Linked DNA regions of Canis lupus familiaris. The protein of the gene in region 1 purifies or fractionates together with the protein of each later gene. This does not show direct contact. Links are inferred from orthologs where the notes say so. Each region holds a gene or a part of one and is shown on either strand. Other genes may lie near its edges.

What was found.
Region 2: the proteins of STX7 (region 1) and STX8 purify together in Homo sapiens (affinity purification with mass spectrometry; 5 studies listed by BioGRID and IntAct, counting the BioPlex papers as one, with this or other methods). This does not show direct contact. The link is inferred for Canis lupus familiaris from reciprocal best matches to the Homo sapiens genes STX7 and STX8.
Region 3: the proteins of STX7 (region 1) and STX6 purify together in Homo sapiens (affinity purification with mass spectrometry; 3 studies listed by BioGRID and IntAct, counting the BioPlex papers as one, with this or other methods). This does not show direct contact. The link is inferred for Canis lupus familiaris from reciprocal best matches to the Homo sapiens genes STX7 and STX6.
Region 4: the proteins of STX7 (region 1) and VAMP3 purify together in Homo sapiens (affinity purification with mass spectrometry; 3 studies listed by BioGRID and IntAct, counting the BioPlex papers as one, with this or other methods). This does not show direct contact. The link is inferred for Canis lupus familiaris from reciprocal best matches to the Homo sapiens genes STX7 and VAMP3.

What each region holds. Positions count from the first base shown.
Region 1 is NC_049222.1:25,722,682-25,728,504, forward strand, and holds the start of STX7 (syntaxin-7), read right to left. Parts: upstream 3,883-5,823; 5' UTR 3,749-3,882; intron 3,415-3,748; exon of another isoform or gene 3,195-3,414; intron 381-3,194; 5' UTR 307-380; coding exon 222-306; intron 1-221. UniProt on the Homo sapiens protein: May be involved in protein trafficking from the plasma membrane to the early endosome (EE) as well as in homotypic fusion of endocytic organelles. Mediates the endocytic trafficking from early endosomes to late endosomes and lysosomes.
Region 2 is NC_049226.1:34,296,469-34,302,319, forward strand, and holds the start of STX8 (syntaxin-8), read right to left. Parts: upstream 3,774-5,851; 5' UTR 3,652-3,773; coding exon 3,635-3,651; exon of another isoform or gene 3,624-3,634; intron 1-3,623. Other genes in the region: CFAP52 (cilia- and flagella-associated protein 52), read left to right, coding at 4,472-4,541. UniProt on the Homo sapiens protein: Vesicle trafficking protein that functions in the early secretory pathway, possibly by mediating retrograde transport from cis-Golgi membranes to the ER.
Region 3 is NC_049228.1:14,370,097-14,375,697, reverse strand, and holds the start of STX6 (syntaxin-6), read left to right. Parts: upstream 1-1,828; 5' UTR 1,829-2,035; coding exon 2,036-2,070; intron 2,071-5,601. UniProt on the Homo sapiens protein: SNARE promoting movement of transport vesicles to target membranes. Targets endosomes to the trans-Golgi network, and may therefore function in retrograde trafficking.
Region 4 is NC_049226.1:61,913,091-61,918,717, forward strand, and holds the start of VAMP3 (vesicle-associated membrane protein 3), read left to right. Parts: upstream 1-1,854; 5' UTR 1,855-1,956; coding exon 1,957-1,958; intron 1,959-3,258; exon of another isoform or gene 3,259-3,801; coding exon of another isoform or gene 3,802-4,134; exon of another isoform or gene 4,135-4,330; coding exon 4,331-4,412; exon of another isoform or gene 4,413-4,499; intron 4,500-5,627. Other genes in the region: putative protein SCAMPER, read right to left, coding at 3,802-4,134. UniProt on the Homo sapiens protein: SNARE involved in vesicular transport from the late endosomes to the trans-Golgi network.

The sequences.
Region 1 (5,823 bases):
GGCATCTGGGAGGCTCAGTGGTTGAGCGTCTGCCTTCGGCTCAGGGTGTGATCCTGGAGTCCTATGATTAAGTCCCACATCAGGCTCCCCACAGGGAGCCTACTTCTCCCTCTGCCTATGTCTCTGCCTCTCTCTCTCTTTCTGTGTCTCTCATGAATAAAAAATTAAAAAAAAAAAAAAAAGAATTGAAAGCAGTGAAGTCAACTTAAATTTCAACTTACAACATTGTGTGATCTTCTGGATGTTAGAAGAGATACGCTGGGCCAGTAGAGCAGGGTCACCACCAACTCCCACAGTGTAAGACATAGTTGATTTGCTTAGTCACTAATTTCATCAGATGTTGGCAGGTTGGGCAGTTTTCTATGCAGTCACCTAAAAAACTGAGGCATAATGAGAATAAGTAACTTGCTTAATCTAAGAGCTAAAATTGGGATCCCTGGGTGGCGCAGTGGTTTGGCGCCTGCCTTTGGCCCAGGGCGCGATCCTGGAGACCCGGGATCGAGTCCCACGTCGGGCTCCCGGTGCATGGAGCCTGCTTCTCCCTCTGCCTCTCTCTCTGTGTGTGACTATCATAAATAAATAAAAAATTTAAAAAAAAATAAGAGCTAAAATTTGAAACATAGTATCTTACAGCCTATATTTTTAAAAAACTAAAACATATTGCTTCATTGTATAAAAAAAACTCAGGACAAGTGAACCCACTCATAAAAAAAAACTAATTTACCACATTTCTGCAGACTCTGCTCTTAGGATAAGGAACAGAGCTGGGGTAGCTACATGAGATCAAGGTAACAACACAGCTGAGTAGTTTAGTCCTTTTCTTTCTTATTCTAATAGTCCTATCTAGGCGACAACAATGGTTGGCCCTTTTGATGAAATATGAAAAAAAGGAGTCAAATGACTGACTTTACTGCAAAAACATATACACAGATACACTATAGTTACAGCTAACTATAAAATGACTTAAAAGTTTATAATCTTTGCATATAGACCAGAATAAACCAAGTTATTCTGATAGCTGCTGTCCACACCAGTCTCCAGCACCTAGCCCAGATATAACAAGCTTTAAGCACTCTTGACGAATATTTTTGAAAGCTCATTCAGAATTCCTAGTTTTATTGCTCAGAATAACATAACTCATTATCCATACCTGCTCTATCAAGTATTCAAAAATCACATGTGAGGCCAATGATTTGTATAGTTCATGTAAAACATTTCCATCACAGCATAAAGTTCTACTGAATAGTGCTTATGTAAACATCTTAACAATTACATTTCTATGAAAATATATAAGCACTGTAAAGGGAAAGAAAGAAAGAGAGGATCAAAGGGCAATACTCGGGGATCCCTGGGTGGCGCAGCGGTTTGGCGCCTGCCTTTGGCCCAGGGTGTGATCCTGGAGACCCGGGATCCCACGTCGGGCTCTCGGTGCATGGAGCCTGCTTCTCCCTCTGCCTGTGTCTCTGCCTCTCTCTCTCTCTCTCTCTGTGACTATCATAAATAAAAAAAACAAAAACAAAAAACAAAAAAAAAAAGGGCAATACTCATAACAAGGATATTCTCAAGACTTTCTGTAGAGCACAAATAAAAGAACAAAGAAAACTGTGAAAAGTTGTGTCAAGCACTACTCCCAGGTACTACTACTGTACACACTGCAGAATCCTAAGACTCTCATTAAACATAAATCTCATGCTCTATAAATCAAGCATGGATAGAGCAATAGAAATAGTCAGTTTCACCTTCTTAATAGTGTGTACTGGCATAAAACAATGGACTTAACTCTACCCCTTACCCCAAAATATAAGTACCCAGAAGAGCAAGGTTTTGTCTGTGTGCTACATTAGTCTAAGTACTGGGTTATGTAATAGGTGTTTAACAAATATCTGAAGACTGAATGAATAAATGTGTCTATTTCCTAAGAACACAAACCTAGTCTGAGAATAAACATTACCAATCCTCAGACACTACATTCCAGTGTCTTCTTTCAGATCCTAAATGTACTGGGCTTATTATTGCCTTAGGGCCTTTGCTGAGTGCCATTTCCTATCCCTGGAAGGCTCTTCCCATGATCTTCACATGACTGGCACCTTTATACAAGCAAAGTCTCATGGCATGCTAGGTAAGTCTTTGGTGACTTCGGATCTGCAATGAGAAGTTACCACCCCGGCACTCTCTGTTGATCTAACTTCCTTTATCATCATGCTACTCACCACTCTAAAATGATCTAGGTAGTAAATTGCCTTCTATTCCTACTTTGGTGATATAAACACAAGACAACCTTGTCAACCTTGCAGAGTCCACAGTATAAGGCGCATAGTGGATGTTCCATGAATGGGGAGACGATCATTCCATGATAGACATGAGTGTTCTCTATCTAAACCAAATTAACCGAATTCTTTAGCTCAGCATCCCCATCTGTTAAATTTTTATACTATTTGGTTTTACTCACAATACCAAGGGTTACTTTTCACCCTTCCATACACTAAACTTTAAAATTAAATGGAATCGCAGCAAACTTTACTCAGACTTACTGCAGATGTTTTATATATTTATTTTTCCATCCTTAGATCTTGGCTAAAGTTTGATATCCTAACTAAAATGAGGATATAACTCTACCACTGGGAGCAGCAGAAGTAAAACATCTGAAGGAAAATGATGCAGACATTCGGAGGTACTGTGGTATCATTTTAACATCTATGGAAAGTCTGAAACTAGACCATAATTCTTAATTAGTCACCGTCTGAGACAAACTTCCCAAAGCGGCCTTCAATGCAAGGCGGTCCACATCCCAAGACACGGCTGAACACTGCTACAAGCCCCTGCCCTGCCCGGGTGAGGCTAAGGCTCCTGAAAAAATGTCCACCTGCAACATTACTCAACAACAGAGCCCTTCAGAATCATTTTCTTCCAGATTCTGTGAAAGTTTTAAATTATATATAGTCATAGCCAAAAGACACTGATCTAAATCAAACAAAAAAATCAATGTATCTATAGGAAAGCCAAGCAAATACACGAAACCGGAGAGGGAAAAAATATATAGCATTTGACCAGAAAGGTATTTTTCTTTGTGTCTGAATTTTTAAAAAGCAACAGCCTAAAACACAATAAGGGGGGGTGGGGTGGGGGGAGGAGAGGCGGATCTTGAAATACTTTACACATTCTTAAAGGTTTTGGGTAAATCATTAATGACATACACTGAGATCAAAGAAAAGGTAGCGTGTCTTGAAGCCAGACAGAAAACCAACCGCAAGGAGCCTCCGAAGGGACAGATGTTACACGGTTCCTTTACTCTCGAGCCATCCAGTTTCAGTTCCTCTGTGTTAGGGAAGAGAGCTTTAAAATGTGTTTTCTAACTCCATGCGTCGTAAAGAGGAAGCGACCGCTCGGTGACCCGCTCCGGGCAGCAGCAGCAGGACTCCCGAGCTCCGCCCCAGCCGGCCCCGCCCCGGGGCGCGCAACCCGCGGGGGCACCGGAGCCAGCGCTCGCGGGATCGGCGGGCGCGGGGCCGGCGGGATGGGCCGGGGCGGGCGGGATGCGCCGGGGGGGGGGCGGGATGGGCCGGGGCGCGGACCGCGGCGGCGCTCCCGGTTTGGGCAGCGCCCGCCCCCCCGGGCTCCCGACCACAGCCGCAAAGCGTAAGGCGGCGGCCAACTGGCAACGCGCACAGACGAGGAGGCGCGGCCGCCGCGGGGACTTAGTGCCTCAAGAACGCGGGATCCGACCCCCCGCCCCCCAGGCTGCTCTTACCCCGGCTCCTCCGCGCCGCCTCCTCCTCCTCGGGCCAGCCGCACCCACCGGCACCCGACCCCCAGCTACGGTTCTCAGCTGATGGGCGGTGGCACTGGGACGCCCAGTGCGCATGCCCGCGACCCGGCTCTGGGGAGGAGGAGGGGCTCGTCCCCCTCTCGTTGGCCAATGGGCTTGAGTGACAACCATTCTGCCCCGCCCCCTCCGAGTCTGGGCTAAGGAATGGGGGCGGGGGACCAAAAAAAATTTGCAAAGGAGGTGTTTTTCGAGGCCTAGCCTTACAGACGGCAAAAAACCAGAGGAGGGAATGGAGAGCAGCTGCGCTGATCGGGTGATGGCGGCCCCCCCAGGCTCACGCCTTCAGCCTGCCCCATCAGGGCCTGCCCAGCCTGTCCTTACTCTGCAGTGGAACGTATCCACAGCTCCATTAAAAAATGGTAACGCAAATAAGCAATGCTAGCAGGAACAAAGACAGCATAAGTGAAGAGTCACCTTCGTGTGCCCATTTAGTAGACTAGTTTTCATAGCACATGCACGTCGTTCCAAGCATCCTTGAAGGGTAGAGTGTTGTTTCAGCAGGGTTTGAAAAAAGCAGAGAATGTTCTACTGGTAACTATTAAAACATAATGTAATTGTTAGATAAATGCATCAGTTGCATTGGGTGAAAGAAATACTCAGCAAATTAATTAGAAGATAGAATGGGTTGGCCTTTGCCTGTATTAAGGCAACACTATTATTCTGAAAGGATCATCAGGACATGAAATGTCCAGATGCACTTAGGTGAAAAAAATCAAAACGAAATGTCTTGAGTTGGTACCATCTGAGCCAACTCTAGGTTGTTTAGTAGTGTACATACATATGTGCCTAAGAGAGTGAGGTCAGACAGGAATAAGAAACACAAGGGTCTCTCAGTTTGTTTTTAATTGTTCTGTTTTTAACAGAAAAAAGGGGAACCAGAAATATTTCCTATTTCACATCTTTCCTGAAGTAAACTGCAGTACAAGTGTTTTAATAGACAGCCACCTTTATTCTGCTTCTAAAAGGGGGGCAATAGAGTGGGTCTGCTGGCCAAGCAAAAGAAATTCATTCCTTCTAAAGGAAACAGGAGGACAGCCTGGGTGGCTCAGCAGTTTAGCACCACCCACGGTGTGATCCTGGAGACCTGGGATTGAGTCCCGCATCAGGCTCCCTGCATGGAGCCTGCTTCTCCCTCCGCCTGTGTCTCTGCCCCTTTCTCTCTGTGTCTCTCCTGAATAAATAAATAAAATCTTTAAAAAAATAAAGGCAGCATGATTCAGTTAGCACTGATTGCAGACTTTCGGAAATTCAGATTTTTATGTGAAATCCCTTTTTTCAATATTCTTAAACTTTTAGAAAGCATTATTTGCTCAGATAAAGTATTTCAGCTTCTATAAGGCAATAGTTTCAGCTATAAAGTATAAAAAAAAAACAAACGAAAAAAGCTGGAGGAGGACTTACAGAAAATCTAGTTCTACTTCCTCATTTGGGAAATAGATTAAAGGAACTGAAAGCCAAAGAAACTTCGTCAAAAGGACACGAATAATTATAAGCAGCACCGGTCCAGATGACTTAATTCAGATTCTTTAGTTCTTCCTACTATCTCATCAACTCAGCAAATGTTCATTGAGAACCTGCCATAAGCCAGGTACTATTTCAAGAGCTGCAGATATCAAGATGGGGTGTATAGTATTTTCCCTCAAGGAACTCAAGGCGTGAGATCCTTCCCAGGACACTATAAGAAGTGTTGTGATAAAGATTTATACACAGATTGCCATGAGCCTAGGGGTGAAGATGCCTTAGTGTCTGGTCAGGGACCATTCCAAAGGGGAAGTGCTACCAGAATCTTGAAAGATGTGTAAGAGTTCACTGGGAAGATAACATGGGAAAAGACATTTTAGGCAAAAGGAAGAGCACATAAAAATTCACAGGCAAGTGCAAACTCTTAGGGATCTCTATATAAATTTATTTAGATTGGAGGAACATAAGACTGGAAAGGTAAGTGGAGTTTATATAATGAAAAACCTTTTCTGTATCATGTTAATAAATGAATATTT
Region 2 (5,851 bases), on another chromosome or scaffold:
TATCTCAGGGTCATGAGATCAAACCCAGCATAGGGCTCTGTGCTGAGTATGCAGTCTGCTTGAGATTGTCTCCCTCCCTCTCTCTCTGCCTCTCCCCCCAAAAAGAAAAAAAAAAAAAAAAAGATAACAGGAAGGAAGTTGGTAAGGAAACTGGGTCCTAGCCCCAGCTTTGCCACATTCCCCTTTTTCCCCTCCATACTGTCCTCTCTGAAAAGAGGAACTTAGGTCTGGCTCTGTGCTCCTAGACCATACTTGTGGAAATCACTAATGATGTATGCTATAGCTCCTACCAACTGTGGAACATAACTGGTAAGTCCTTCTGGAGTGTGGAAATGAGAGAAATCACTGGCGGCCGAGGCACTCAGATTTGACAGGACTAGGCCAAGAGATTATATTCTGGGCTGAACTGCAAGATTGAGAGGCAGGAGGGAGAGGCACATTCTGGACTGGGCCAAAGACACAAGAAACAAGCAAAGGTGAAAGGAAGGAAACAGGCCTGGCACATTGGGCTGAGTGGCCCTAGGTAGGAGGATACAGTATCACAGGGTCACAGATGCGGGGAAGCTAGTTTCTGCAGAGACTCGAACACCAGGATCATCGGGTGAGACTTGACAAGAGGGCTTTAGAGATGTAGGGGAGTGAGCCCTTGAAGAGGTCCTGTGAAATGCAGGTCAAAATCCCAGACGTTCTGTTCCCAATCCTCACATTCTCACGTTAGCCCTGGACAAGCGGAGGTTCTAGAAATGTGCTACCCACTGGAATCATTGAGGAATCTTCAAACAACAAAAACAATGCAACCAAGTCCTGGCACTCAGCCCCAGGCATTCTGCTTAAACTAGAATGGGGTCTGATCAGGACAGGAGCAATTGAGAAAGACTCCCCAGGGGGTTTTCCAATCTGTATGGAAGTATGAGAACCTGGCCTTGAAAACAGGCGTGATGGTAATGGCCAGCCTCATCACGGGTTCAAGTACACAAGTGCCTAAAGTATTAGTTTAGGAAAATCCACCTGAACTTGTTTACACAAAAGGCTGGGAATGAGAGAGGAGTAGCAGAAGACCAGGAGACTTCTCCAGCTCTGTGATTCCATAACTGGTCACCAGTATCTACTGTCTGCAAGGCACAGAGCTGAAAGGATGGGCCCAGAGCAGAAAAAGGTGGTATCAAAGAGATGCCAGAGGCATTTGGGGAAAACCCAAAGGTTTAACAACCCAAAAAGAGAAGTGAAGAAAAAGCTGATGATTGGAGTTCTCAGGCCTAAGTGACCTAGATGATGGTGACACCATAGCAGAGACTGAGGACCCACCAAGGGGGACATGGAGGAAGTTCCCAGACTGTGAACTGAGCCCCTGTTCTACCATAAAAACACCGAATGCACAAATTCATCTATGTATGAGATTTACTTAAAAAAAAATCTCAGGGGCACCTGGGGATGGCTCAGTGGTTTAGCATCTGCCTTCGGCTCAGGGTGTGATCCCGGGGTCCCAGGATTGAGTCCCGCATCCAGCTCCCTTCAGGAAGCCTGCTTCTCCCTCTGCCTGTGTCTCTGCCTCTCTCTCTGTGTCTCTCATGAATAAATTTTTAAAAACTTAAAAAAAAACTTTAGCAAATAACTAGTTCAGAGACAGCGCTTATCACTTGCTCTGATGCCATTAAAGCAGTCACTGCTGTATCCCATTAGTGAACATTAGAACGCCACTCAGGAGTAGAGCATCACTGACCTACAATTTTTCAATGGCCAAAGGCAAAGCTGTACGTAGTCAAGTCTGTGTTTATAGTTTTTTTCATAGCCCTGTTCCATAGTCCCTTCTACCTTCCTGATTAGCAACCCACTGTGCAAGGTAGTGGATACTAACACAGCAGAGTTCCCGCACTTCTCACGGTCAACAGTCAAATGAGAAAGCCACCAGGTCAAACTACATGAGAGTAAAAGGGCACATTATGTGTTTTCTCCATAAACTGGGGAAGGGGCTTGGGGGTCCAATGATCGCTTCCACCAGTCTAAATGGATAACCATCTCTGAGCTTTATTTCCTACCTTAAGTGTAAAGTGAGGGGGTTAGCTTCCAGGAGGTGGAAGACAACTTAGCAATAGGTATCAAGGGCCTTAAAAATGTTCATACCGTTCAATTCAATAGTCCCGTCTGCAGTGAGCAAGAGGAGGAAATAAGAAATGGAACAACGGGGGCAGTCTTTGCAACAGTTAAACAAAACATACTCTAACATTACAGAGAGGGAAATAAATTATGGTTATTCGTAGAATGCGCTATTGTGCGCCATAAAAAGAAATCATGTTTTCAGTAAATACTTAATGACATGGTTGAAATGTTCCCTGCTTTGTAAAACATGCAGGTTTCCCTCACTATCCAAAAGTAGTCTTTCTACAAAACCTTTCATAAGCCGAAACAATGTAAAGCAAAGGGACCAACAATTACCATTATTTTATACGGAATATCTTTTGAGCTTTCCTAAACCCCCCAAAATAACCTCCCTTAGGGCTTTTCTGATGTCTTAGGGCACGCCTTGCTAATGGAGACACAAAATAAACTAAGTGAAAGCCTGGATGCTCACTGACACAATTCAAAGCTATGACAGCTTGACGCTGAGATGCTGAATGTAGTTCTCAGGGAAGGAGCTTGAGGGGAGGGTTGGGAGGTGCAAGGTCTCCATGACAGCTTGCTGCAAAACAAACACCGAATGCTATTTTTGCTTTCCCCATTTTTTTTCATAAAAGCAAAAATCCTCCGGGCTCCTGGGTGGCTCAGTGGTTAAGCGTCTGCCTTGGACTCAGGCCGTGATCCCGGGGTCCTGGAAACGAGTCCCGCATCAGGCTCTCCCTCTCTCTGCCCGTGTCTCTGCCTCTCTCATGAATAAATAAATAAAATCTTAAAAACAAAAACAGCTTCAGTCCGTAATTCTGTAGCAATCTGTTCCTTGGGACGAGAGCTCGTGTCTGTCACCATCCAGTCCTTGGGACTCAGGGTGTTGGAGGAACGACCCTCATGAGCTCTGGTTCTACTGCAAAGTTGCTGCAGTACAAACAGCCCTTCCGGATACGGACTCAGGTAAGGGCCCATCACAAGCCATACAAACACGCGCAATTCCCCTCCGCGATTCCTCCAAGTTTTCGGAAGGGCCCAAGAGATCTAGGTCCCAGTGCCGACTGGTTACTAACCGGCGCAGGTGGCGGTGGGCTGTGAACCCGGGTTCTCCGCGGGTGAAGCGAGAGGCGGCGGCGAGGTCACCAGCTGCAGCCGCATCGCAGAGAAAGGTCACTCCGCCTGGACTTGCCCGGGGAGTCCCGGGGAGTCCGGGGGAGTCCGGGGAAGCCCGCAGCCGCCAGCGCGGATCCGGGCCGGGCGCGAAATGCCCGCGGTCCGATGCGAGCCAATGCAGGGCTCCGGGCACCTTCCGGGCCTGCGCACTGCCCCCCCCCGCCCCCCGCTGCCCGGAGACCACCCGGCCCGCCTGCGGGGCCGCCCCTGCGGGCGCCGAGGCTGCGGGGCGCGCGGCAGGGTCCTCCCCCCGACCCCCCCGCCCCGGGCTCGGGAAGGGGCCTCGCTGCCGCTCCCTCGTCCTGAAGCCCCCACCGCATCCCCGGAACCCTCGGCGCGGCCGCCCTCACCCGGGGCTCACCAGGGGTCCGGGGCCATCGTGCAGTCTCCGCCCGCCGCCGCCGCCGCCGCCGCCGCCGCCCTCGGACACTTCCTGCTCGCGGCGGCGGACTACGGCGGCCGGCGCGGCTCACACCCCGCTGCTCCGCCCGGGCGCGACCGCAACCCGGAGCTGGCCTGGCGGGGGGGAGGGGGGGGAGGGCGGGGAGGGTGCACCAGGGCCTCGCAGGGACGGTCCAGAAAGGGGGGCGGCCCCCACGTCCCCCCGGGGAACACCAGGATGGAGCAGTCTAATCCCGTATGTTCCCCCGCTGCGAGACGCGAGCGACCCGGCGCGATTTAAATAAAAGCGTTGGACAGAAATCTTCAGCATTTTCCGGCGAGCATCTGAAATGTCATCCTGCTCAAAGCAAAAACAAGACGGTGGGCATAGCTGCACAACTGTAGAAATCTGCCAGAACGCACTCAGAGTTACTTTTCTATGTAGAGGTGTACCGCCACAAAGCTTAAAGATTCCTTGCAATCTTGCTTCAAGTAAGAGACCCAAAGAAGTGGCAATTATATATTACTTTATAGCGGCCTTCCTTAAATGACACGGTGCTTGGTTATATAGGTCGGGGAAGAAGTCACAGACGTTTTTCCGTGGAGGGAACGAGCACACTCAATGCCCCTACACCTCCAGGGAAATAGTGAGGGCAAGGAGCGCGGCTGCTCTTGCACCGGGAGCTCCCTGCGCCGCCGCCGCCAGTGCGTGCGGCCGCGGACCTGGTGCGCACGCGCACGTCCGTTACCATAACGACCAGGAGACGCTGCGCCGCCGCTGGCGAGAGGAGGGAGTGGAGAGCCCAGGCTCCAGGGGATGGAGAAGCAAAGTTCGCCCAAAGCCGAGGTGGCGGAGCTGGAGCTCGAGGCCGTGATCGGCTTCAACGGTGAGGCCTCGAGCGTGTCCGGGCTGGGCGGTTTGCAAGCCCCGGGGACGAATAGTGCAAACAGGGACACCGGGGGCCACCTGGAAGGTAGCGCGGGACACTGAGCCAGAGCCACGCTCTCTCCTGCCCTAAGGTCCCGGGGAGTCGAGGAGTCACCTCCTCGTTCTAAGCCTCAAGGACTGGGATGGCTTCACAGCACCTAGAAGGGACAAGGGTCTCCCCCCCCTACCCCCCCCCCCCCCCCCGCCGAAGGGATGACTAGGGTGCCCGTCATCCTTTTCATTCTAGGTTGGCTCTGCCTCGGCCTTAATCCCCCACGCAGCCCCCAAAGACACCCCCCCCGCCGTGAACTGCGAGACTGCCAAGTCCAAATCGACCCCTGGACCCAGAAACTCGTAGAATCCCAGCTGATGTGCCATGAGAAAGGGCTGGGGGCTGGACGTGGGTGTGAGCACCCGCCTTAGGGGATGGTCTAGTCCCCAGACCCCAGAACTCCTATTGGAAGGTTTCAGACCCCGATAAAAGATCGAGAGGACGCCAGGGGGAGCTGGAGGGGAGAGATGCTCAGGTCAAGGCGGGGGGTGGGGGGTGGGTGGGAAGCGGGGAGGACTGCTGGTTCTGCTCACATCTTATTTATGAGCTCCTGTTAGTTTGAACATTAAGGGTTCGGAAAGTGCTCTTTGATTTTGTGTGTGAAGGATGGAAACAAGCAACGCGTTGCATTTTAGAAAAAGCAAACTTCTTTTTAAGTGCATTGTGTTATCTGAAAGTTTTTAAATTGTAGTGATGCAGTTGCAGAACAATCAAAGACTAGAGTTTTAGGTGGGACTTGTATCTTGACTCTTCGTTTTAGTTTTATAGTTTCTGATAGAAAGAGGTCATTTAGGGGGTGCTTGGGTGGCTCAGTCGGTTAAGCATCTGACTTTGGCTCAGATCATGATCCTGGGGTCTTGGGATCAGACCCCCATTTTCTGCCTCTCCCTCTACCTGCCTCTCCCCTGGCTTGCCCTCTCAGGGCTCTCTCTCTCTCTCTCTTTCAAATAAATATGTTTACTGCCTTAGGGAACACTCTCTGTGTTAAATAATCTTTAGAAAGAAAGAAAAAGAAGGAAAGAAAGAGAGATAGAGAATGTACTTAGTACACCTGACCTGAGGAGTGGACTATCTTTACAGCTGGAGACAAGGTCACTGGTAAAGGGAGTAAGGGACCTGCGCCCAGTGCAGGGGGTCACACCAGTGACCAGTGCAGAGCTTCAAACACAGAGCTCTACAACTGAGCTCATGCTGTGTTGTCCAGCTCTAAGAGTAAA
Region 3 (5,601 bases), on another chromosome or scaffold:
GGAACCCAAAACCACCCCTCAGATGATGGTGAAGGCCCTGATAAGACCTCCCACCAGCCCAGACTGCCTAGACCTTTTGAACTAAACCGTTACTCGTGCCTGCACACATAGACCATAGAGTGACCTCTGAGATGACCTACAACTACCATTACTTCATTATAATACTACAATATCTGCCCAAGGAGGAGCCTAACATACAACACATATAGGCATGTTTCCTTAAGGCACTTGAGCAACCTTACGCCCACCTCTACAAGGCTTCCCCATCTAAATATTCATCCTAACCCTAAACAAAAGGAACCCATTCTACCTCTCGGGAAGTCATTCCCTGTGATCTCCTTATTTGCTGCAAATAATTTTTCAATGTGTGGCTACTCAATATGGTGCAGTTTCTGACTCACCAAGGCACAAACTCACGTTGGTTTGGTTGCACCTTTACAATTGCTGCCCCACTCTTTGGGAGACTAGGGGCTTACATGCATTATTATTTAACCTTCATGATAATCCACAAGCTAAATATTATTATTCTGTTTTCTGGATGAGAAACCAAATAACAAAATCCAGGTTCAAACAGGGTTTGTCTGGCTCTGAGGACTCTTCCATCTCCAAAAGGACTGGTGACCTTGAGAAAGTCACTTAACCTCCAAGAGTCTCAGATTTCTCATTCCTAAAATGAGGATAATAATGGTAATTACCTCATTATGAGAGCAACCGAGATAACAGCACAGTCCCTGACACACAGAAAGTGCTCAGTGATAATTAGCAATTAAAGTTCACAAAGCCTATAGTGTTCATGGATAGCATGAGAACTGGCTAATTGTAAGGACTGAAATGCTATCTGGAAGGGCTCTTGAACCACCGCTGGGAAGAAATTGCCATACCTGGCCTCCTGTTAGTCTCTCAAAGGAGGGCTCTCCAGGGAAGTGCTGTACACTGTATGAAAAAAATCACCTTACTGCTCACTTGGAGAATGCTCATTAGAAAATACATGCATTCTGGTGGAGAGTGCACAGTATCCGTAGCTCTGCCCTGCCTAGAGTGTGTGACCACAGGAAGTCTTGAAACCTCTGAACTTTGGTCATTTACAAATTGGAAATAATGCCTTCTCCCCAGGAATATTGAAATAACGCACATCCAGCCCATTAGGGCATTGAGGAACACATAGTAAGACCTACATAAAGGAGTTGTGCAACATAATCAAGAGTCAGATAAGGTATATGAGCGAGCTTTATGGCAAGGGCGAGATGGAATTAATTATAAATCAGTGAGAGTGACAAAACATGAGAGACAACTCTGGGAAACGAACAAGGGGTAGTGGAAGGCGAGGTGGGGGGGTTGGGGTGATGAGTGACGAGGGGGGCACTTGGCGGGATGAGCACTGGGTGTTATGCTATATGCTGGCAAATTGAACTCCAATAAAAAAAATAAAGTTATACCATAAAAAAATTATAAATCACATGCCATCAAAATAAAGTGTTAAAAGTGCAGGAAAGGTAAAAGGATAGTACGAATCAGGTCCTAGCGCAGAGCTTGAAACCCTAATTGGCCCCCCCAGTAGGGAGCAGGCAGCAGGGCGGGGCGGGGGCGGGGCCATACCGCGGGACCACGCCCACCCGCCTCAAGCCCCGCCTCCAGGGCTGCGTGACGCGCCGCCCAAGCCCCGCCGACGGGGGGCGGGGCTGGCCCTGGTCACGTGAGCGCGGGTGCGGAAGTGGTGCAGCGGGCGGCGTCTGTGGTTGGCCGCGGCCGCGGGTGCCGGGGGCGGGGTCAAGCCGGCCAGACGCGCCGGGAGGAGCCGGGGGAGGAGGCCGGCGCGGGGCCCGGCGTCAGGTTCGGGGATCCGGTGTGCCGGCCGAGCGAGCGCTGGAGCCGCGGCGGTCCGGTGCGCCCCGGCCTGCGCGCGCAGCTGCTCTGGGTTCCCCGGGCCGAGGCGCCGGCGGCTGCGGCAGGCCGGTGGGGTGGGCGGAGGGAGGCTCGGCGGGCGCGGGCGCCCTGTGCGCGGAGCAGGCGCGAGGCAGCCGGGGGCCGGGACGCCATGTCCATGGAGGACCCCTTCTTTGTGGTGAAAGGGTGAGTGTCCCCGAGGGCTCCGCTGGAGGAAGAGGTGGCGGTGCTGCCCGCCTGCACCTCCCCGCGCGTCGCGCTGGAGGGGGAGGGGAGACAAGTGGCGGCTATAGGGACGGCTTAGCTTGCAGGGCCATGACCAAGCGTCCAGAGACGTGCCCTCCCCGTCCTACCTGGACTGTGAAACCCGCCGTGCGCCCCGAGCCAAGCCGCTGGGGCAAGGGGACGCCTTTAGGGCTGTGCGCGGAGATGCAACTTGTTTGGGGTTCGAGGGGATCAGCAGCTCTGCAGGCGGCGGGGGAGACAGTCGTCCCAGCCCTCGCTGGGGTTCTAGTGGAGCACGGGGCCCTACTTCGAAGGAGGGAAAACAGCATCTGGGCAGGAAAAGGGAAATGGCCCTCCTGAGCTTTGTAGTTGGCGTTGCTGGGGGGTGAACTCCCATTGTCCATTGAGTTTGGAGCGCCGGCCCCAGAGCGGTGAGACCACAACACGCCCAGAGGCGTCTGAGCACGTTTGCAGGCTGGGTTGCGGGGGAGCAGGGCTCCGGCAGACAACTCAGTTCAGTGGGGGCGTTTGTACTGAGTAATAGGAGGGGAGGGAAGCAGTCGTTCGAACTCGGCGATGATGTTGGAAGGAAAACAACATGAAATCAGCCAAACTAAACTTTCCTCAGCTTTCTATTAGCAACTGGGATTTTCCCACAGTGCTAAAGGAAGTGAGGGCTTTCTTTTTTAACTCCCTGATTTCATCCAGGCTCTTTGACAGGTTTCCCCCATTTCTTATCCAGCCTTTCAGAACAGGACTGCCTTAACTTATTTTTCCTCCCCCCCCCCTCCCCCGCCCCCTATGAGCTGTCCTGACTCCATCTTTGATTGCTCGGTTGTTTGGAGATACAAACTTTCTTTGCATTCTGTTATCTTTGGAGCCATTAGGCAAATGCAAAAAAGATGGATTCGCATGCTGTTGTAACTTGTCAGCTTTATGTTTTAAATGTCAGTCATGGAAAAAATCCGAGAACTACGAAGATCCCAGGTACTAATAACCACGAAGTGTCCCTTTGCTTGCAACTAGTTGCTGCTACCTTCCTATTTCTGTAGTGGTAAAAGCTGACCAGTTGTGTTTTTTTGAGGCTTTTTCTCAGAAAATTTACATGGTTCTGTAGGTGAAGTCCTTTGTTATCCATGATACAATAAAAAAAAAGCTTCATGACATTTCCCTAAAAGGTTTTTCTCTTCATCCTAAGGTAGATGGGGAAATGCAGAGTCATAGATTGATCAGTAATATGTGGCTCTCTACCTCGAAAATGTGTTGTTAGATTAGTTTAAGGGGTTAGTTTTTGAATGTTAAAGCCGTGTGTCTTTCCCTTGAATGAAAGTTCTTAATGCTTAGGTTGCAAAGATTACCTCTGGCAGTGGAAGCCAGGGATAATCAGAAATTTTTCGTTTGTTTGATTTTTAGTGAAATCTCTGAAAATGCTAAGCTCTGCCATCTTGGTCTTTTTTTCCTGGTGGTATCCAGTTGAGTCTCTCAGTGCTCGCTCACTGATCAGATATCACTGCTGTATTAGAACATTGGCCCGGATTCTTGGTTGACTTTTGTATCCTTTTGGCTCATGTCCTTAAGGTGTCTGAAGGAAGGGATTCACAATACCTTCTGCTGTAAAAGGTAAAGTTAGCCACATGGGTGTGTCCAGACTGTGATAGAATATCTGGGGGACTGTGTACCTCTGTTTATTAAAAGTATTGAAAATGCATCGCAGAATGTGGAAAGATTAAATGCTTAAATTGTGGCCCTTTGCCCAGAAGCTGATGGTTCTGAGAAGCAACTTACCCCCCAAATTAAGTAGAAATGACAGGTGATAAATTAAGCACTGAAGCGAATCTTACAGGTTAAGTGCCCCGGAAGTTCTGAGAAAAGCAACTCATTAGAAATGGTTAGGATTGGAAAAGCTTTTAGAAGGAGTAATAGGTCTTGAATTAGGTTTTGAAGATAGGTAGAATTGAGATAACTCAGGCCTGTGTCTCATCTGGACTCTTATTAAAAAGAGTCTCTTAATTGGTCTGCCTACTTCTAGTCATCTGCCCTTGATTATATTGGGTTAGTGCTGTCTAAAATATAATATGGGCCATATATGTCATTTTATATTCCCTAGTAGCCAGGTTAAAAAGTAAAAAGAGAGGCACTTGGATGGCCTAGTCGGTGGAGCATGCTACTCGATCTCGGAGGCATGAGTTCAAGCCCCACATTGGGCATAGCGCTCACTTAAAAAAAGTAAAAAGAAACTGGTGAAATTAATTTTAATGTCATCTTTAATGTAGTCAAAATATCTCAGCATGTGGTTAATATAAAGATTATAACGGGATATTTTACTCTTTTGTACTAAGTTTTCTAATTTGGAGTGTATTTTACACATATAGCCCATCTCAATTTGGACACTGAATTTTTCATCAGAAATATTTGTTCTATATTTAGAGTTCGTTAAATTTATAGAGTTGAAAATGTAGATTCACATACCCAAACATTCCAAACGTACTTGAAAATTTTCCAGTTACTGAAATGCTTATCAGTTTTTAAGTTGAAATTAATTGAAATTTAAAAGGTAGTTCCTTGGTCACACCAGTGCACTGCAGGCGTTCAGTCATCACATGTGAGGCCCACATTGGGCAGCAGAGGTATAGCTCTTGGGCAGGGGCTCCCTACTTAACATTAGTTAGTGGCTGGCTGTTGCATACAGAATAAAGTCCAAGCACTTCTTGACCACCACGATCCAGCCTTCCAGACCTCCACCCACTCTGCCTACCCACAGCTCAGAGTTCCAGCAAGGTCAGACTGAGTGATTGTGACCACAGTACTGGGTGCTCTTACTCCACATACACTCACTTTGCCTGGTTCACCCACTAAGTTTTGAAGATTCAGTGTAAGCATCTGCCCAGCCTCCAGGAAGTGCTTCCCCTTGGCACTTGTAACACGTTTTTGCACCTCTTCCTCTGGCTGTCTTTCATTATTATATTAGACTCTGAGCTCTGAGGGTTGGGACTGTTTATTTTTCCTGTATTTCCAGCCCAACACCTTGAATATGCAGCATAAATGTTAAATAAATACTCGTGGTGGTGGTGGTGGTGCTGGTGGTTAAGGAGTAGTGATTCATGGGTGGGCACATTGCCAGCAAATGCCCTGAGATGAGCATTGTGTATTAGAAATTATCAAGGAGAGCATCCCAGGTGGTGTAGGAAGTTTATTTAGGGGAAGTAATAATAATAGCTAACATTTAAAGGACGCAACTCTGATGCAGGCATTTTGTGCTAAGTAAGCAGTTTATAAAAATTTTCACTTGATGGGAACAGCTCTGCAATGTGGATACTAGCCACATTTTAGAGATGAGGAACTGAGGGAGCACAGAGGGGTTAAGTTATTGGCCTGGGGTCACACAGCTAATAAGTGGTAGACCCAGGATTCCAATTTGAACTGCCTGATTCTACTCACACGGTTAATACTTCATAGTACAGGTAGAAGAGGGTATAAGGTAGAAGCCATTGG
Region 4 (5,627 bases), on another chromosome or scaffold:
GGGGTCCCTGAGACTTGCATGTAAAACTAGTCTAGATGTCTTCTTTTTTGTAAGTTTTATTTTTGTAATTGTGCATGTAAAGCATCATTGAATCAATGGATCTGTTGAAGAACTCAGCTGCTGGAAACCATGCAAAATGTTTTGAATTGCCCTTAAAATATGGAAAATGTTTTCTGAATGCTTTATATTCTTTCTGCTGTAAATTAAAAATGAAGAAAATTTCCCCATACTATGTGTGTGCTTTGCTTTAACTTGACCTGACACTGAAATCCAGGGTGACCAGCAGGTTTCAAACCCTTAGGAGATGATTTCATGTATTTCCTTAGATCCAGAGACAGTGTCTTGGCATTGACTGTTACAGAGTTTCAGACATGTCCATGAAAGAAAAACTTAGGAAGCCACTGTCCCCTAGAACACTTGCTTTTAACTGTCTTCTCAGGCACCTCTCAACATACCAGCTACTTGAAACACAAAGACACCAATCTGAATTCACCACTGCTGCTGAAAACCTCTGCTGTTCTCTATTAAGATCCATCTTCTTTTCTGAGAATTCTGTCATTATCTGCTTTCCTTCCACTGCAGAGCATCACCCTTTCTCCCTGGTAGCGGGTGGGAGTGCTACTGCCAAATCTCCTGTAGGGTCTCCCCTAGCTCCCTGCCCTGTGGCTTCCAGAGCCCTTGCATTTAAATGATAGTTTCCTTTCTTGTCTATCCTCACTCCTTACTCTTATTTTCACCTGGGCCCCAGCCTGCCCCTTCTGGTTGGGCGGTTGCAAACCGTGCCCATTTCCACTGTTGCCTTTGTTCATGTTTGTTCATCCCTTGCCTGGAAAGTTCTCTTCTTATCTACTTACCCAACTCAAATCCCACCTCCTCGGTGACACTCTTATTTATTCTAACACACACCGACATTCCCCTTTTCAAATTATTACATTGACAGTCGGAAAAGACAGTTCAGTATTTAAGTTTTTGGTTTTTTGCTTGTCTTTTTTTTCATTTCTCATCTCATCTGCCGGTTGACCTGGCAGTGTTCTGGGTGTTTAAGGTAGGCGTCGTCTACGTTAGGAATACTTCCAGGAACAACTTTCAGTACGTTGCAAAGAACCTCGCTGCATTCGGGTTTGGGCCCCCGCCTACGGCCCCGACCAGAAGCTGAGGACCTGCTCTGCGCGGGGCCCGGGAATACAGAAAGGTAGAGAGTAGGGAAGCCCTGGGGGGCCCAGGGCGTGATCCTGGAGTCCCTGGATCGAGTCCCACGTCGGGCTCCCTGCATGGAGCCTGCTTCTCCCTCTGCCTGTGTCTCTCATGAATAAATAAAATCTTAAAAAAAAAAAAAAAAAAAAAAAAAGCGTAAACACAGCTAGCTCCTCCCGTGCAGGCTCCCGTCCCCAGATCCTCATACAGTGTGCACGACAACCGAGCACACGAGGCGAGGGTGTCTAACCCCATAACGCCCGCGATAAATACCCCAAAGAGCCTTCCTATCTCGACAAGTTTCCCGGGGGGGGAGGGGAGCGCGGCGTCCCCAGGACCACTCGGTTCGGGCGGGACGGTCGGCAGCCAAGCAGGACTGTCACGGCCAGGGGAATGGCCTCCGGGCCCAGGACAAACTACCAGCCCCCGCCCTCTATTCCCTGCACCTCCCTGCACCCTCCCCGCACAGGGCCTAACGCGCCGCGTCCCCCAGAGTCGCAAAGGCGGCTGCGGGCAGAGCGCGTCCGGCACCACCGAGCCAGAGGCGCAGCCCCGCCCCTCGGTGGCCCCGCCCCCAGAGGCCCCGCCCCCCGGAGGCCACGCCCCCCGGAGGCCACGCCCCCGCTGGACCACGCCCCCTTCCGGCGCGCCCCTCCGCGGCCGCGCCCGGCGACGTCATCGGCCCCGCGCCGCCGCCCCGCCCGGCTCCCGGCCTTCGGTCCCGCTGCGCCGCTCGGCTGACCGTCGCCCGCCGCCGCCAAAATGTGAGTGACGCGGCGAGACGCGGGGCGGCCTCGGACCCCAGGGGGCGGCGGCCCGCGGCTGGGACCCTTCCCCGGCTCGGCTCCCGCCGGCAGCCGCTCGGACGCGGGCCTGCGCAGCGGCTCCCGAGGCCCAGGGGTGGGCGGCGGCCCCGGGGGTGTGCGGGCTGCAGGCGGGCCGACCCAGCCCCGCCGCGCACCCCGCACCCCGCACCCCGCAGCCCTGCGGCCGTGGGGCTGTCGCGGAAGCGGCGGCGGCGGGGAGCCCCAGGGCTTCCCGGAGCTAGGAGACGCCCCACCCCGACCCCGACCCCGACCCCACCCCTTCTCCCCTTTCCCTAACCCCCGGCCCAGGGTCCCCGAGAGGAGCGGTGGCCACTGCCCTAGACCTGGGAGCGCCTGTCCGCCGCCTGGGGCTGGGCTGGGCTCCGGAAGTTGCGAGGGAAAGAACCTCGGCCCTGTGCCTACGGGCTCCAGTGCTCAGAGTGGACTCCGGAGCAGAGCCGTGGATCTTCCCTCTTTAAGCAGAGGCCGCCTCGAAGTGGCCCTTGAAACCCCAAGTTTTCCCGCAGTAACATTCAGAGGAAACTGTCAAGAGTCACGAGGACCGTCTAGCCCCCTCCACACTGTTCTTGCTCGTCTACGGAGGAGGAAGGCATGGGTACTTTCCCGGGTTCCCTCCGGGGACTAGGGTCGCTTCTCCGGAGTGTACCTGCCGCGGCTGCCGTGCCAGTAAATCACAATGGTTAATTAAGGTCTAGATCGGTGGAATTATAGGAGACCTGGTCTAAGACAGGTTCCACTGCAACCAGCACTGTTGACTTTCTAAATCCCACTTTTTGCTTCCAGAAAATGGGGTTGATAGTAGTACACACACACACCCTCAAAGAGTTGAAAGGACTGAATGAGAAAAATGCTAAGTGAGAAAATGTGCCATTGCATGGTTCTTCGCTATTACCTATCAGAGAATAAAAATAAAGTGTAAGGGCAGGCATGGGATCTGCTGCATCCCTGGTCTTTGACATGTGGTAGGTATAAAATAACTTGAATCAGTGGGTGCATCAGTAGCTGTTGTAGTCAAGGCCCAGGCTAGGTGCTGTCTTGGGTACAGGGAAGAGACCTGTAAGACACAGGAGTCTGTGATCTATCAGGGAAGGCAAGACATTACAGATGACCCTTGAACAATATGGGTTTGAACTGTGCAGGTCCACTTACAGGTGGGTTTTTTTCCAATAAATACAATACAGTAATGTAAACGTATTTTCTCTGTCTTACGATTTCCTTTTTTTTTTTTTTTTTTTTTAAGATTTTATGTATTTATTCATGAGAGACACAGGCAGAGGGAGAAGCAGGCTCCATGCAGGGAGCCCGACATGGGACTCCATCCCGGGTCTCCAGGATCAGTCCTGGGCTGAAGGTGGCGCTAAACTGCTGAGCCACCTGGCCTGCCCTTGTCTTACGATTTTCTTAACATTTTCTGCTCTAGCTTACTTTACTGTAAGAACACAGTGTATGATACATATAATATACAAAATACTTGTTAATCGACTGTTTATGTTATTGGTAAGGCCTTTGGTCAGCAGTAGGCTATTAGTAGTTAAATTTTGGGAGGAGTCAAAAGTTATATGCAGATTTTCAACCATGGGGAGGGGGAGGGGTCGGCGTCGGCACCCCAAACACCCCACCTTGTTCAAGGGTCAGCTGTGTGTGTATGTGTGTGTGAAAAATGAAAGCATGGCCAGCCAAGAAACGGAAGCGATAAGGACTTCAAAGCCACAGTGGTCAAGAAAGATCTGGCTGGAGAGCAATAGGCCTTCAGTTGAGGATTTGAAAAGAGAAGTACCTTTTAAGAGAGGAAGCACTGCTTCATCTCACCTTTCCCACTCACACCACCCCCTCCTCCTTGCCTCTTGATGTTCCTGACCCTGTTTATATAAATGAATATATTTCTCCAAACTGGAAAAGTGGCATTCTGTAATTGTTCATAACCATGAAAACAGTTCTCGCCACAATGAGAGTTCAGGAGAGTACTGAGTGCATTTAAGTAGATGTGTGCATTTAAATAAAAAACTGGAAGGTAGAGTTTCTCTATCTTAGGATCCCTGATCTTAAGATCAGGTGCCTCAGTGATAGAAAGTGATATTAAACCTTCACTTGAGACCCTGCTCACTTTTAACATATGATGAATCCTGGAAATTATAGAGGAATTAGAAGAAATGTCATTAGAACCTTTGTTCCTTACTGTAGGAAGGGTTTCTTTTTCTGCTTAAGTTCTGAACCTTTAAACAGTGATGCCTTGGGATAATGTCTTCATACTTATAAAAAATGTATCTGGAATCATAGTTTACTCATGCTTGTGCCTTTACCCATTTCAGGTCTGCAGGTGCAACCCCAGGGTCAAGTGCTGCCTCTGGCAGCAACCGAAGACTTCAGCAGACACAAAATCAAGTAGATGAGGTATTGCTCTAAAATGTTGAAAACAGTGAATTTTAAACCAACATGGGAACACTCTGGAAATAAATCTTTTTAGAAAAAGTATCTTAAAAGCATGACTGAAAAGGAAATTTTGGCTGTTTCATAACAAATGAGCTAAGCTTCTGAGAAGTCAGTACCCAAATCACGTATCTAAACCACAAATACTCCTCCCGAGAACATTCTTCCAAGGATCACTTTATAAAATATATTTTGCCACAATTAAAAAAATTGGAAAGAAAAAAAGAACTAGTTTATAAAATAGGGTAATTGAGTTTTAAGGATTAGGTCTAAAGTTTGTTCAAGCCAAGACCAGTCCCTCCGACCAGATTTTTCATCAAAATGCTGCTTAAAGTGTAGCCTGATGTACAGGTTACCAGGCATGAGCAAGCCTCTAGAACTCAGTTCCAGCTGTCGCCCATTCACGTACATAAGGCAGATGCTGGCAAACTGGTCTAGCCCAACAAATCTATACTTGTGGAATTCTTGAACTAGAGAACCCTCACAGCATCTTTTGTTCAGCTCTGTATATGCAGACCCACAATGGAAGACTGTGAGAAATTCAGATTAATGTTTCTATAGCCCGGAGAGCTACCAATGTCCAACAAAGACATGTTGATCTTTCTGGATTTAGCTGCTTTAAAAAGCAGAGTTAAGTTTAGGTTAGACTGCATTATTAAATCATTTGGTAATGTTTTGGTCTTATGGTTTTGTTTATGAACTGAATTCTGAAAATTTTTACGTTTCCACGGTAAGAAACCCATTCTGATTCCATCGGGGATGAAACTTTTGTTTACTTACAAAATCAAATTGGGTCCTTTTTCTTAACCAAAGGAATTTTAAGGAGAGGTTTTGTTTTGTTTCAATTGAGGTAAAATTTACATAGCATACAATTAGCCATTTTAACTTGTACAGTTCAGTGATATTCGGTGTATTTATAATGTTGTGCAATCATTACCTCTGTCTAGTTTCACTGCTTTTGCATCACGCACAAAGAACACCCTGTATACATATAGTTGTCACTTCCCATTCCCGTTTTCTCCCATTCCTGGTAACCTATAATCAGCTTTCTGTTTCTATGGATTTGCCTGTTCTGAATGTATCATATATAGGCGATCATACAGTATGTGGCCTTTTGTGTTTGGCTTCTTTCACTCAGCATGTTTCCAGTGTTCATCGGTGTGGTAGCACCTGTCACTA